Linked DNA regions of Macaca fascicularis. Each later gene encodes a partner of the first gene's protein in a complex. Links are inferred from orthologs where the notes say so. Each region holds a gene or a part of one and is shown on either strand. Other genes may lie near its edges.

Region 1 (4,028 bases):
AAGCATAAAATCCAGCTCTTGCAAGCTGCTCCTTGTTAACTGAGTATATCCATGTCCCAAAAGTAATGATCCGTGCTTCATAATCTGCCATGGATGGATTTCTTGGAAGATTTGTTGAATTTGGGAAATTCCTATCAGAACTCACAGCATCAGATTCACTTCGAATATTAAGATTCCGGCCCAAAACAAAGAAGCAATTTGGAAAGTGTCGCCTGTGTTCTGACCAGGCACGATCACAAGGTTCCCAATTTTTCAGTTTTCCACCACAACAAAAGCACTGCACTTGGTCACCAATACCTGTGTAGTAGAGTCCAGCACTTGCTAACTCTCTTGGGGTTAGGTGAGCATAGTCTGGCCAGTTCTGAAAGGACTTTAATCTAGCTTCTTCACTATACATGGCAGGGTTCCTCGGGTATATGGTGTCTGATATATCTACAACCTGCCCAGTTCTCAAAAGATAGTCTGCATGTGTCTCAGATGGCCTGTCTAAGGCAAAATGATTTCTGCTTCCCAGATAGTTTTCGACTTTGTACTGACCATTCTGGATACCAGAATTTGTAGACTGCGTGGCACTATTTTCAAAATAAAAGCCATTGATAAATCTGCAATTTGGGGATACTTTCCTGTGTCTTCCAACTGCTGAGTCTCCATATTGCCATCTATCTACAGCTGCATGACAACTAAAGCACCGCACGGTATCTCCTTCACCAGTATAAAGAAACCCTGCTCGTGCCAGTGTTGATGCTGAAACAGGACTACTACTTGGAAAATCTGCAAAAGTTTTTAATCTATTAAACTCTTCTACAAATTCTTCTTCCTTATTGATGTCTGCAGGTACACAAGTTTTAGATCCTTCAAAACTGTTAAAAGTCATCTTCTCTTGAAAATAGGACTTGTCCACCTTTTCTAAAAAGAGAACATTATATTAGGAAATCCAAAATGTGAAACACAAGCAATAGACTTTTGTTATAGGAGCTAACAAATTATCACTTATGACATAAAAATAACTACACAACTGCTAAGAAACATTCTAATTCTAAATACTAGGGTTTAACATTACATCATTCAAGTCATAAAGTAAAATCTAGCATTTTTGTTTTCTCTTTTTGAGGAAAGTAATATTTAAGCAGGCAGCATAAAACTAATAATTTTTAAATGCTTATTTTACATAAATATGTAAACTGTGATGCAGAATATATTATAATTATTAACCATGTCAAATCATTAATTAGGAAAAACATGAAAGAAGCATAAAATATGCAGATTATTAAAGTCTGTGCGTAATTGTTATAATGAATCATTATATATTCAAGGCATCAAAGTTCAGTTTTTACAAATTAAAAAATGTTCAGAATGTTAATGAATTAATTTTAATATTTCTTTGCTTAGCAAAATATGTTTTAATCATAATATTGGTTCCAATGTGTTCTTTAAGAGTATGAAATATTTCTGATTTTCATGCATGAACCAGATCCCCTTTTTTGTTGTAACTGGATAATTACAGATATATATGTAATACTGCCCTCTAGAGAGTGGCTCAGGAGAAACTCTAAGTACCTGCAAACCTTAATTGCTTTTTTTTTTTTTTTTTTTGCCCATGACATACATGTGCCCTGCAGTTACTTTTGCTATTAACTGCCCTTGGTAGCCAGGCGCAGTGGCTCATGCCTGTAATCCCAGCACTTTGGGAGGCCGAGGCGGGCGGATCACGAGGTCAGGAGATTGAGACCATCCTGGCTAACAGGGTGAAACCCCGTCTCACCTAAAAATACAAAAAATTAGCCGGGCATGGTTGTGGGCGCCTGTAGTCCCAGCTGCTGGGGAGGCTGAGGCAGGAGAATGGCGTGAACCCAGGAGGCCGAGCTTGCAGTGAGCCGAGATCGCAACACTGCACTCCATCCTGGGCGGCAGAGCGAGACTCCGCCTCAAAAAAAAAAAAAAAAAAAAAAAAAAAAAAAAAAAAAAAAAACTTCCCCTTGGTCAAGTAACAATCTGTTCAAATGGAAGATAAGTATTGTTGCAGTCTTATTAGAGCTGCCAAATTACAGCTGTGTAATTTTAACCCAGATAAAATACTAAAGAGAACCCATTAGGTTATGAGAAGGATAGCAAGATAATTTATCTTCCAAACCTGGACACTTCTCAAAGTGAAAAATCACACTAGCAATAATCACACTGGGACAACAGGCATAAATCAGGGTTGCCCCAGGCAAACTAGAGCATATGGTAACCCTAGCTATGAGGCAAACCTGGTTCTCCAGAATCTCCCACATTGCCTGATAATGTGCTCAATATAAACTTGTCAAAGGCAAAATAATGGTAACAAGGACTCTGTCTCTATATTATATGTGCATTAATTGATTTTTTTTTTTTTTTTTTGAGATGGAGTTTTGCTCTTGTTGCCCCGGCTGGAGTGCAATAGTGTGATCTTGGCTCACTGCAACCTCTGCCTCCTGGGTTCAAGCGATTCTCCTGCCTCAACCTCTCAAGTAGCTGGGATTACAGACATGCACCACCATGCCCAGCTAATTTTGTATTTTTTAGCAGAGACCGGGTTTCTCCAGGTTGGTCAGGTTGGTCTTGAACTCCCGACCTCAGGTGATCCCCTGCCTCGGCCTCCCAAAATGCTGGGATTACAGGCATGAGCCAAAAGGTCGAGCCATTGATTTCTTGAGAAGAATTAGCCAGCTCTTTTGCCTTTATGTTGACACAATATGTCTTAGAATTTAATCTCTTTTGGAGTAATGTTCAACACAAAGCAAGTTGGCAATGGACTTGTCTTTCCTGGCCATGTCAACTTATAGTGGTATTAACTCATACCTCAACAGCTGAGTTATATCTGCATAAAACTTTTGGAATAGTCTCCATGACTTTTGATGAATTATCATTTCCTAGATGTCTGAAAACATTCCAACATTAGCTTCAGGGCCCTTTGTTGAATCAGCATAATAAACCGAATGACAAAAATCAAGATTCAAAGAAACCAAGGCTGATCAAACCCCTTGTTCTACTCTTTTCCCTCTTCTCACTCTGCACTTGACTAGTCTTAAGAAAAAAACCAGTCGGTCATAGTGGCTCACGCCTGTAATCCCAGCACTTTGGGAAGCCAAGGTGGGCAAATCACCTGAGGTCAGGAGTTCGAGACCAGCTAGACCAACATGGTGAAACCGTCTCTACTAAAAAACACAAAATTAGCCAGGCGTGGTGGCACATGCCTGTAATCCCAGCTACTTGGGAGGCTGAGGCAGGAGAATCACTTGAACCCAGGAGGCGGAGGTTGCAGTGAGCGGAGATCGCACCATTGCATTCCAGCCTGGGCAACAAGAGCGAAACTCTTGTCTCAAAAAAATAAATAAATAAATAAAATAAAAGTAAAAAACCAAAGCTACCTGATAGGCTAATGAGATAACATTTAATAGGGGTAAGTGTAAAGTCTTACATCTGGTTTTTTAAAAATATCTGGTGCATAGGCCGGGTGCGGTGACTCATGCCTATAATCTCAGCACTTTGGGAGGCCAAGGCAGCCGGATAACTTGAGGTCAGGAGTTTGAGACCAGCCTGGCCAACATGGTGAAACCCCTATCTCTACTAAAAATACAAAAATTAGCCAGGCGTGGTGGCAGGTACCTGTAATCCCAGCTACTCGGGAGGCTGAGACAGAAGAATCCCTTGAACCCGGGCAGCGGAGGTTGCAGTGAGCCAAGATCATGTCACTGCACTCCATCCTGGGCAACAGAGTGAGGCTCCATCTCAAAAAAAGAAAGAAAGAAAAAAAAAAGGGCCGGGTGCAATGGCTCATGCCTATAATCCCGGGACTTTGTGAGGCCAAGGAGGGTGGGTCACCTGAGGTCAGAAGTTCAAGACCAGCCTGACCAACATGGAGAAACCCCATCTCTACTTTAAAAAAAAAAAAAAAAGAAACAAAGAAAATTAGCCAGGCGTGGTGGCAGACTCCTGTAATCGCAGCTACTCGGGAGGCTGAGGCAGGAGAATTGCTTGAACCCAGGAGGTGGAGGTTGCAGTGAGCT
Region 2 (3,975 bases), on another chromosome or scaffold:
TGTTGGTGCCATTAAAAGAAATAAAAGTTAAAACAGGTTGCGTGCGGTGGCTCACACATGTAATCCCAGAATTTTGCAAGGCCAAGGTGGGCAAATCACTTGAGGCCAGGAGTTCAAGACCAGCCTGGCCAACATGGCAAAACCCCATCTCTACTAAAAATACAAAAAAATTAGTGGGTATGATGGTGCACACCTGTAATCCCAGCTCCTCGGGAGGCTGAGGCACAAGAAACGCTTGAACCCAGGAGGCAGGGGTTGCACTGAGCTGAGATTGCGCCACTGCACTCCAGCCTGAGTGACAGAGCAAGACTCTGTCTCAATTAAAAAAAAAGAAGAAGAAGTTAAAACAAGTTTTAGAGTTAAGAAACATTACACTTTCAATGTTTTTTGTTTTTTGTTTTTAATTTGAGGTACTAGGAGCACACAAAGGGTTGATGTCCAGAGGGCTTTTGAAAATATAAGATTAAGGTTCACAGCTGGGTGTGTTGGCTCACAACTGTAATCCTAGAACTTTGGTAGGCTGAGACGGGCGGATCACCTGAGGTCAGGAGTTCGAGACCAGCCTGGCCAACATGGTGAAATCCCATCTCTACTAAAAATACAGAAATTAGCCAGTTGTGGTAGCATGGAACTGTAATCCCAGCTACTTGAGAGGCTGAGGCAGGAGAATCTCTTGAACCTGGGAGGTGGAGGTTGCAGTGAGCTGAGATCGCAACCATTGCACTCCAGCCTGGGTGACAAACTCCAAAAAATTAAAAATGGGGGGGGAGGGAGGGAGGGAGGGAGGGAGGGAAGGAAGGAAGGAAGGAAGGAAGGAAGGAAGGAAGGAAGGAAGGAAGGAAGGAGGGAGGGAGGGAGGGAGGGAGGGAGGGAGGGAGGGAGGGAGGGAAGGAAGGAAGGAAGGAAGGAAGGAGGGAGGGAGGGAGGGAAGGAAGGGAGGAAGGAAAAGAAAGAATATATAAGGCAAAAGTTCAATGAAGACAGAAAATGTAATTGTGTGGATTGGGGAATAGAGGGGATGATTAAGTCCCTGAGGCTGAGTGGGATTCCCAGAAGAGAAAGTAGAAAGACAGACATCATATATAGATTTAGAGAACATACTTAAACTTCAGAAGGAGTAAGAAGACACAGGAAAAATATGGGACTTTGTGAAGAAGTAAAATTCTATGATTTATAATTTACATAGGACAGACAATTGCTGACAGAAATTGTAGTGAAAGCATTCCATATAAACCCTTTTTTGTTTTAAGAAATATCTACTTGCAGAATTAGGTTTCTGAACTAGCCTTAATATTAGTGGAAACTAAAGACATTGGAGCCTACCTTCTGTCTGCTCAGATGTTGACATGTTAGCCAATAGGAACTTCTAAGGCATATTCCACCTCTAATGAAGATGTTGTATTTTGTAGGAAAAACTCAACACTGTTCTTTTATGATGCTGCATCGCTGTCCTGGAAATCACAGTTGGGACAGCACCATTTCTGCGTCTCAAAGGGCTGCATTCTGTGATCACAAGACCACTCCATGCTCTTCAGCAACAATAAATCCACTCTCAACTGCAGGAAACTCAGGTAAATATTTACTGTGAAACACCTTGTAAGTGATGCCATTTAGCTTACATATTTATGTTCAGTGGGTTTACCATACAGTGAGATTTATTTGTCTTTATTTCCTCAATATGATAAATACATACCTTCTTAAGTAGGAAAACAAATCCCAGGAGATGGGAACGATGACATGGCCCACATGGTGTTCTGTGAACATCTAAATAGGGAGGCAGTACTAAGAGGAGGTATTAACATATTACTAATTAACAAATTTGCAGGTATCTTTTATATTTGAAACAAAATGGACATTAAACAAAACTGAACAAATCCTAGAAGATGGGAATGACGACATAAAGTGGTTTTTGCCCCAAGATTTATACCATATAAAAAGGCAGTGCCTTTTCTGGGGAGTGAGGGGGAGATAGCCCAAATCTCTGAGTGTTTCCTGAAAAATGATAGCATTCCCCCAAATACTGGTGTTCCATATTGGCACAATCATAGGAAAATTAGGTTTTATGCTTTATTGATTTTTCATGGAATTTTACTTATTGCTATGTATCTGTCCTCACCTTTTAAATATTCATTCCTTGCTCTTTTTCAGAACGTCTGCAGCCTGGTGTCGCCCAGCAGTGGATCCAGAGCAAAAGGGAAGACATTGTGAACCAAATGACAGAAGCCTGCCTTAACCAGTCGCTAGATGCCCTTCTGTCCAGGGACTTGATCATGAAAGAGGACTATGAACTTATTAGTACCAAGCCTACAAGGACCTCAAAAGTCAGACAATTACTAGACACTACTGACATCCAAGGAGAAGAATTTGCCAAAGTTATAGTTCAAAAGTTGAAAGATAATAAACAAATGGGTCTTCAGCCTTACCCGGAAATACTTGTGGTTTCTAGATCACCATCTTTAAATTTACTTCAAAATAAAAGCGTGTAAGTGACTGTTTTTCAAGAAGAAAAGTCGTTTTATAAAAGGATATTTATATCTCTGTTGCTTTGACTTTTTTTTTAATATAAAATCCGTGAGTATTAAAAGCTTTATTGAAAGTTCTTCTTTGGGTAAATATTAGTCTCCCTCCATGACACTGCAGTATTTTTTATTAATTAATACAAGTAAAAAGTTTGAATTTTGCTACATAGTTCAATTTTTTATGTCTCTTGTTAACAGAAACCACTTTTAAAGGGTAATAATTATTATTCTTTTTCATAACAGTGCCTTAAGGTATGATGTATTTCTGATAGAAGCCATTTTCACATTCATGTTCTTCGTGGATTATTTGTTACTCGTCTAAGATGCAATTTGATTTTATGAAGTATATACCGTTTTACCCACCAGAAACAGTACAGAATCTCTGCCCTAAAATCCCAGGCTTAATTGCTCTACAAAGGCTTATTAATTTAAAACTCCATTAATAGGATTACATTTTAAAGTTTTATTTATAAATTCCCTTTAAAAAAGATATTTCAAAGGTAAAACAATACAATATAAAGAAAAAATAAATATATTAATACCGGCTGTCTGTCTCCATTTTTAACCTCAGCCTTCCCTACTGTCACCAACAACCAAGCTAAATAAAGTTAACAGCCTGATGTTTATCCTTCTGTCCCTTTCTTCCTGCTTCTATTTAGAACATATGCTCATTTGGGAAAGGATCTTTTCTGCATATTATTATTATAATAATACATCATACTGCAACCTGCTTTTTGCATTTAATAGTACAGCCTTCCAGATCAGATATGGCTCTAACTTACTCTTTTTACTTGCTGCCTAATACCCACACTGTTTTTATTTTCTTAACTTGTCCGTATCAAATTTAGCCCAAACAATAAAAGTACAGTGTGAGCACTTTTTTGGTTAATGGGTTATATTACTATATGAGAACTTACAAGGAATAATAGCCGTTATCTGAAACCGCATAGCAAAGTCAGCAGAAAGTGAGATACAGAGTAAATTTGAAAAGATGAACTTTCAAGAAGCAACAGACCCAAACCTGAAAAAAGTTTGAATAAAAGAAATTAGATGGCATTGAGGCAATTAAATATTTTATTAGAAATATAAGTATTTTAATCTACATTTTAGCGCTTGACATTAACTTGTAGCTCTTACTGTGCCTTTCAGAAATATGGAAATCTATTAATTTCCATATTTGGAAATTAAATGAAAACTGAACACATGAGTTATCTATTAAATTTTAAAAAGCATTAAGATACAAATTTTATTTGTGAAGTAAAAAATAGAGATAAAAATTCTTTTACAAGCTTTCCCTTTTCTCTATACATACTCTAAAAAGAAATTATTTTGAATATCGATGGCCTCAAATTGACTTTTATACTGATTTCATGAGGTATATCTGGATTGATAAAATGAACTTTGCCCTGTTTTTTAATTCTCTGCAAAGATCTAAAAACTCATAGTCTGTGTGCTT
Region 3 (4,028 bases), on another chromosome or scaffold:
TTAATGAAGGTTAAAAGGCAAATAACTAGATTGTATGGTGTTACTTCAAATTGCAATGCTCTTAGGCCCTTTGATTTCTGTGATAGAGACCTTTATTAGATAGCTTATTTTCCAAAGAACAGCCTGAGAATTCTGGGAATAGCAGTGTGGATGCTTGTTATGATCTCCAATTTTGAACATTTGGAATATTTTAGATGGCAGAAAACCAGGGACAAGTCTAATAAATGCACCCAAAATTAGTTTTCTTATTTGAAAGATACTTTTATGTTATCTGATTTTACTGCCAAAATTAATAAATGGCAGCCCATCACAAACATCTTTCTAAGTTGATTAACCCTTTATGTGAAGAGTCCTGGCTTCCCAAGTAATTACTTACTTATTAGTGTACTAACTTCAAAAACATTATATTATATATTGAGGTCAAGTCAATAGGGTCAATTCTTCTTCATCTTTTTTTTTTTTTTTTTTTTTTTTTTTTTTTTTGAGACAGAGTCTCACTCTGTCGCCTAGGCTGGAGTGCAGTGGCTCGACCTTGGCTCACTGCAACCTCCATTTCCTGGGTTCAAGCGATTATCCTGCCTCAGCCTCCTGAGTAGCTGGGACTACATACAGGTGCCCACCACCATTCCCAGCTAATTTTTTTGTATTTTTAGTAGAAGTGGGGTTTCATCATGTGGGCCAGGCTGGTCTCGAACTCCTGACCTCAAATGATCCACCCACCTCGGCCTCCTAAAGTGCTGGGATTACAGGCGTAAGCCACTGCGTCCAGCCAATAGGGTCAATTCTTACCCTGTTTTCTCATTTCTCCATTGTCATAAATGACTTCAAAAGGAAAGCAAACCGGACAGGTTAGGAATTAAGCAACCACATTTTTAATCAATACATATGAACATTTGTTTGTTAACCAGTTACTATTAGGCAGAAAAAAACAGTCATTTATCAAGATTTCAAAAGATAACACCACCTTGAAAATAAAGTGCCAAAAATCTTTGCCATAAATTCTTCCTCACTTATAGAACTAAAATTAACAAATATTTACTCAAAATAAGGCTTGGAATTATCTAAAAAGTTCCAGATATATTTTAAAGATTTAACAGATTTTGCACATAAAGCCAAGACAGATTGTTTTACACATACATAGACTATCTGACAACCCAATGAATAAATGATTGAATGGATGAATTGTTGAGCATTAGTGATTACTTATGTTCACATTATGGGCCAGGCTTACATCCATTTCTTGTTCTTCTCCTGCCTCACTGTCCCTTGCTCTTCCAAGGCCCTTGGTAAGGTGGCTTCCAGGTAGGCCTGGGCGGTAAGGTGCTGGTGGAAGATGTGAGGGCAGGAGAGGTGAGACCAAGGTATTCTCTGTATCTGACTCAGTTCAATCCATCTCAGGCAGTGGCTTTGTCCTTGTCATGGCTCCACTTCCCACAATCCATTAGTGGTCCTACCTCCCACTAGGCAGCCCCCACCATGGTTCCAGCTCCTCTGGATGATCCTACTACTAGACTCAGGAAACCAAACCTCTTCCCATTATCGTCACAGCCCTGGGTGTGTTAACAGCTTCTTGCTATTTGGCTTCTCTTTTATCATCTATGTAAGTCAATTTCCTGTATTAAATTCCCTCTGTTGAAACACCTAGAATGGTTTCTGTTTTCCAGACGGGATCCTGATGGATACATATCAGAATCATTTAGCTTTTTCTCCTCTTATCTGGAAATTTTTGCATGAAAATCTGCCCTAAGCCAGTGAAAAATCATTCAAATCACACTCAATACCCACATTCTGCAATAAAGGTCAGTAAATATCCCCTTGGCTGTGTTTTGTCAAATACTGGGATTCTCTTTGCCAAGTGCAAACATGACTCTGCCTACCACTGTTACCACCAATTACAGAGGACACAGCCACAAGCTTTCTCCAGAGGTCACTTTTGTTGCATGTATTAAGTCTAATAGGTAAAAGACATACAAAGAGAAAATTAATCTTAAGAGAAAGTTACACAGTTACCAAATGAATAACATTATTTAAAAAGTCTCTGAAAATTCAGAGAACAAAAGACAGCACCAGAAAGTTTCTTCCCTGTTGAATCAATACATTTTCCCGAAATGAAAATTCTGGAGAATTTCTGAATACTTCAAGAGCATCAAAAAAAAAAAAAAAAAAATCTGATTCATTAGTGATTGATCCATTGCTTCTCAGCTAGAATGCACCCCTGATATGGCTAATGACTGAAGTAGAGTTCCTTGGTGAGCATAGAGACCACACAGGGGATCTGCTTCTTCTCATGGAAGCGTGGGTCATCACACTGAGACTCAAAGTGCCTGGCGACTCTGTCATTCACCCTGGTGAGGATCTGCATGATCTCCAGGTCTTTCCCGTGCTCCTCCAGGATGGAGCAGAGGGCTTGCACAAACCAGGAGCCTCTTCCTGGGCTCCTCCACGAGTAATAGCCTTCAACAGGAAAGAAAGGAGATAATCAAATCAGCTAATTCTGACAGCTGCTCCACTCACCAATGAGACTGACTCTATGGGGCTTTTACACCTGCTTTTCAGAAATGATTTCACTCTACTCTGCACACAAGTCATTAATGAGAATTATGCTGGTGTGCTCAGAGAGCAAACATCTGAGATTTAGAGGGTTGGCATGAAGATGCTAGAAAATGCTTTGGGTACTTCACTACGGAAATCCTATGACAGACAACATCACTAAGGGCCAGCCTTGGTGGATGGTGCCAGGGTACTCTCCTGTGTTAGCCTGATGGAGGTACCCACCTGATATATATCAGATACATGAGTGTGAAACAGATCTGCACATGCAGACTTCCAAAGGAAATGCTGGAGGTCTATTCCATAACTCTGGAACTCCTCACTACCCTTTGGGGGTCAGTGCTACTTTCGAATCCAAATCTACTAGAGAAGGAATTTGCAGGGAACCTTGAAGATTTCTGAGATGTGTTCCTGCTGCTGGGGTACATGGGAGTAGAGTTGGACCTTGCTGAAGAAATCCAGAGGCACGAGGAAGCTGAATGCCCAACTGTCTGAGGGGCAGGGCCAGGAGAGCCTGATGCCCTGGGAGGACAAATCTCATCCTATAACTCCCTAACCTAAAACAGTTTGCTTGCACCACTTTATCTGGGTCAAGTTCAGGCTGCTTGACACAGCACACAGGGCCCGCCATGACAGGGCCACTTGCCTACCTGTCCTGGTTTGATCCTGGCCATGCCCTGTCACATCCAATGCTATGGACTGAACTATGTCTTCCCAAAATTCATTTATCGAAGCTGCACTCCATAATGTGACTGTGTTTAGAGGCAGGGTCTTTATGGAGGTAATTAAAGTCCGATGAGGTCACTAGGGTAGGGCTCTGATCCAAGGGGATTGGTGTCCTTATAAGAAGAGACACGAGAGACCTCACTCATTCTTGCTCTCAATCTCTGCCATATGAGGCTATAGCAAGAAGGTGACCATTTATGAGCTAGAAAGGGAGCCCTCACCAGAAAGTGACTTAGCCGACACCTTGATGTAGGACTTCCCAGCCTCCCTAACTTAAGAGAAATAAATGTCTGTTGTTTAAGCCACCTTGTCTAAGGTATTTTGCTATAGCAGCCCAAGAAGACTGATATACGCTGCGATCCAGCCCCGAGTTTTACCAAATGCACTGGGCTATCCGGCCCCTCAGTACTCCGTCGACAAGCCCTTCTCTTACCCATGTCGTTTGGAATTTTAGGCTCAGTTACAGCAGCTTCTTTTTTTATTGAGACAGAGTCTCACTCTGTCGCCCAGGCTGGAGTGCAGTGGCACGATCTCGGCTCACTGCAAGCTCCACCTCCCGGGTTCACGCCATTCTCCTACCTCAGCCTCCCGGGTAGCTGGGATTACAGGTGCCCGCCACCATGCCCCACTATTTTCTTTTTTTTTTTTTGTATTTTTAGTAGAGATGGGGTTTCATCATGTTAGCCAGGATGGTCTCAATCTCCTGACCTTGTGATCCACCTGCCTCGGCTTCCCAAAGTGCTGGGATTACA

Evidence for each region.
Region 2: the proteins of XIAP (region 1) and RIPK2 are in contact, whole or in part, in a cryo-EM structure (PDB 8AZA), measured with the Homo sapiens proteins. The link is inferred for Macaca fascicularis from reciprocal best matches to the Homo sapiens genes XIAP and RIPK2. Residues at the interface, in NP_001158.2 of Homo sapiens: Lys208, Asn209, Trp210, Glu211, Pro212, Cys213; in NP_003812.1 of Homo sapiens: His136, Asn137, Met138, Thr139, Pro141, Ile208, Asp278, Glu279, Arg280, Ser282, Lys285.
Region 3: the proteins of XIAP (region 1) and CASP7 are in contact, whole or in part, in a crystal structure (PDB 1I51), measured with the Homo sapiens proteins. The link is inferred for Macaca fascicularis from reciprocal best matches to the Homo sapiens genes XIAP and CASP7. Residues at the interface, in NP_001158.2 of Homo sapiens: His136, Ala137, Leu140, Leu141, Gly144, Gln145, Val146, Val147, Asp148, Ile149, Ser150, Asp151; in NP_001218.1 of Homo sapiens: Tyr230, Trp232, Arg233, Ser234, Pro235, Gly236, Arg237, Trp240, Glu274, Ser275, Gln276, Asp279, His281, Phe282.

Annotation. Positions count from the first base shown.
Region 1 is NC_088395.1:130,112,765-130,116,792, reverse strand, and holds part of XIAP (E3 ubiquitin-protein ligase XIAP), read right to left. Parts: intron 907-4,028; 5' UTR 875-906; coding exon 1-874.
Region 2 is NC_088382.1:99,493,191-99,497,165, forward strand, and holds the end of RIPK2 (receptor-interacting serine/threonine-protein kinase 2), read left to right. Parts: intron 1-1,409; coding exon 1,410-1,571; intron 1,572-1,693; exon of another isoform or gene 1,694-1,764; intron 1,765-2,148; coding exon 2,149-2,486; 3' UTR 2,487-3,065; downstream 3,066-3,975.
Region 3 is NC_088383.1:122,773,719-122,777,746, reverse strand, and holds the end of CASP7 (caspase-7), read right to left. Parts: intron 2,455-4,028; coding exon 2,225-2,454; 3' UTR 850-2,224; downstream 1-849. UniProt on the Homo sapiens protein: Thiol protease involved in different programmed cell death processes, such as apoptosis, pyroptosis or granzyme-mediated programmed cell death, by proteolytically cleaving target proteins.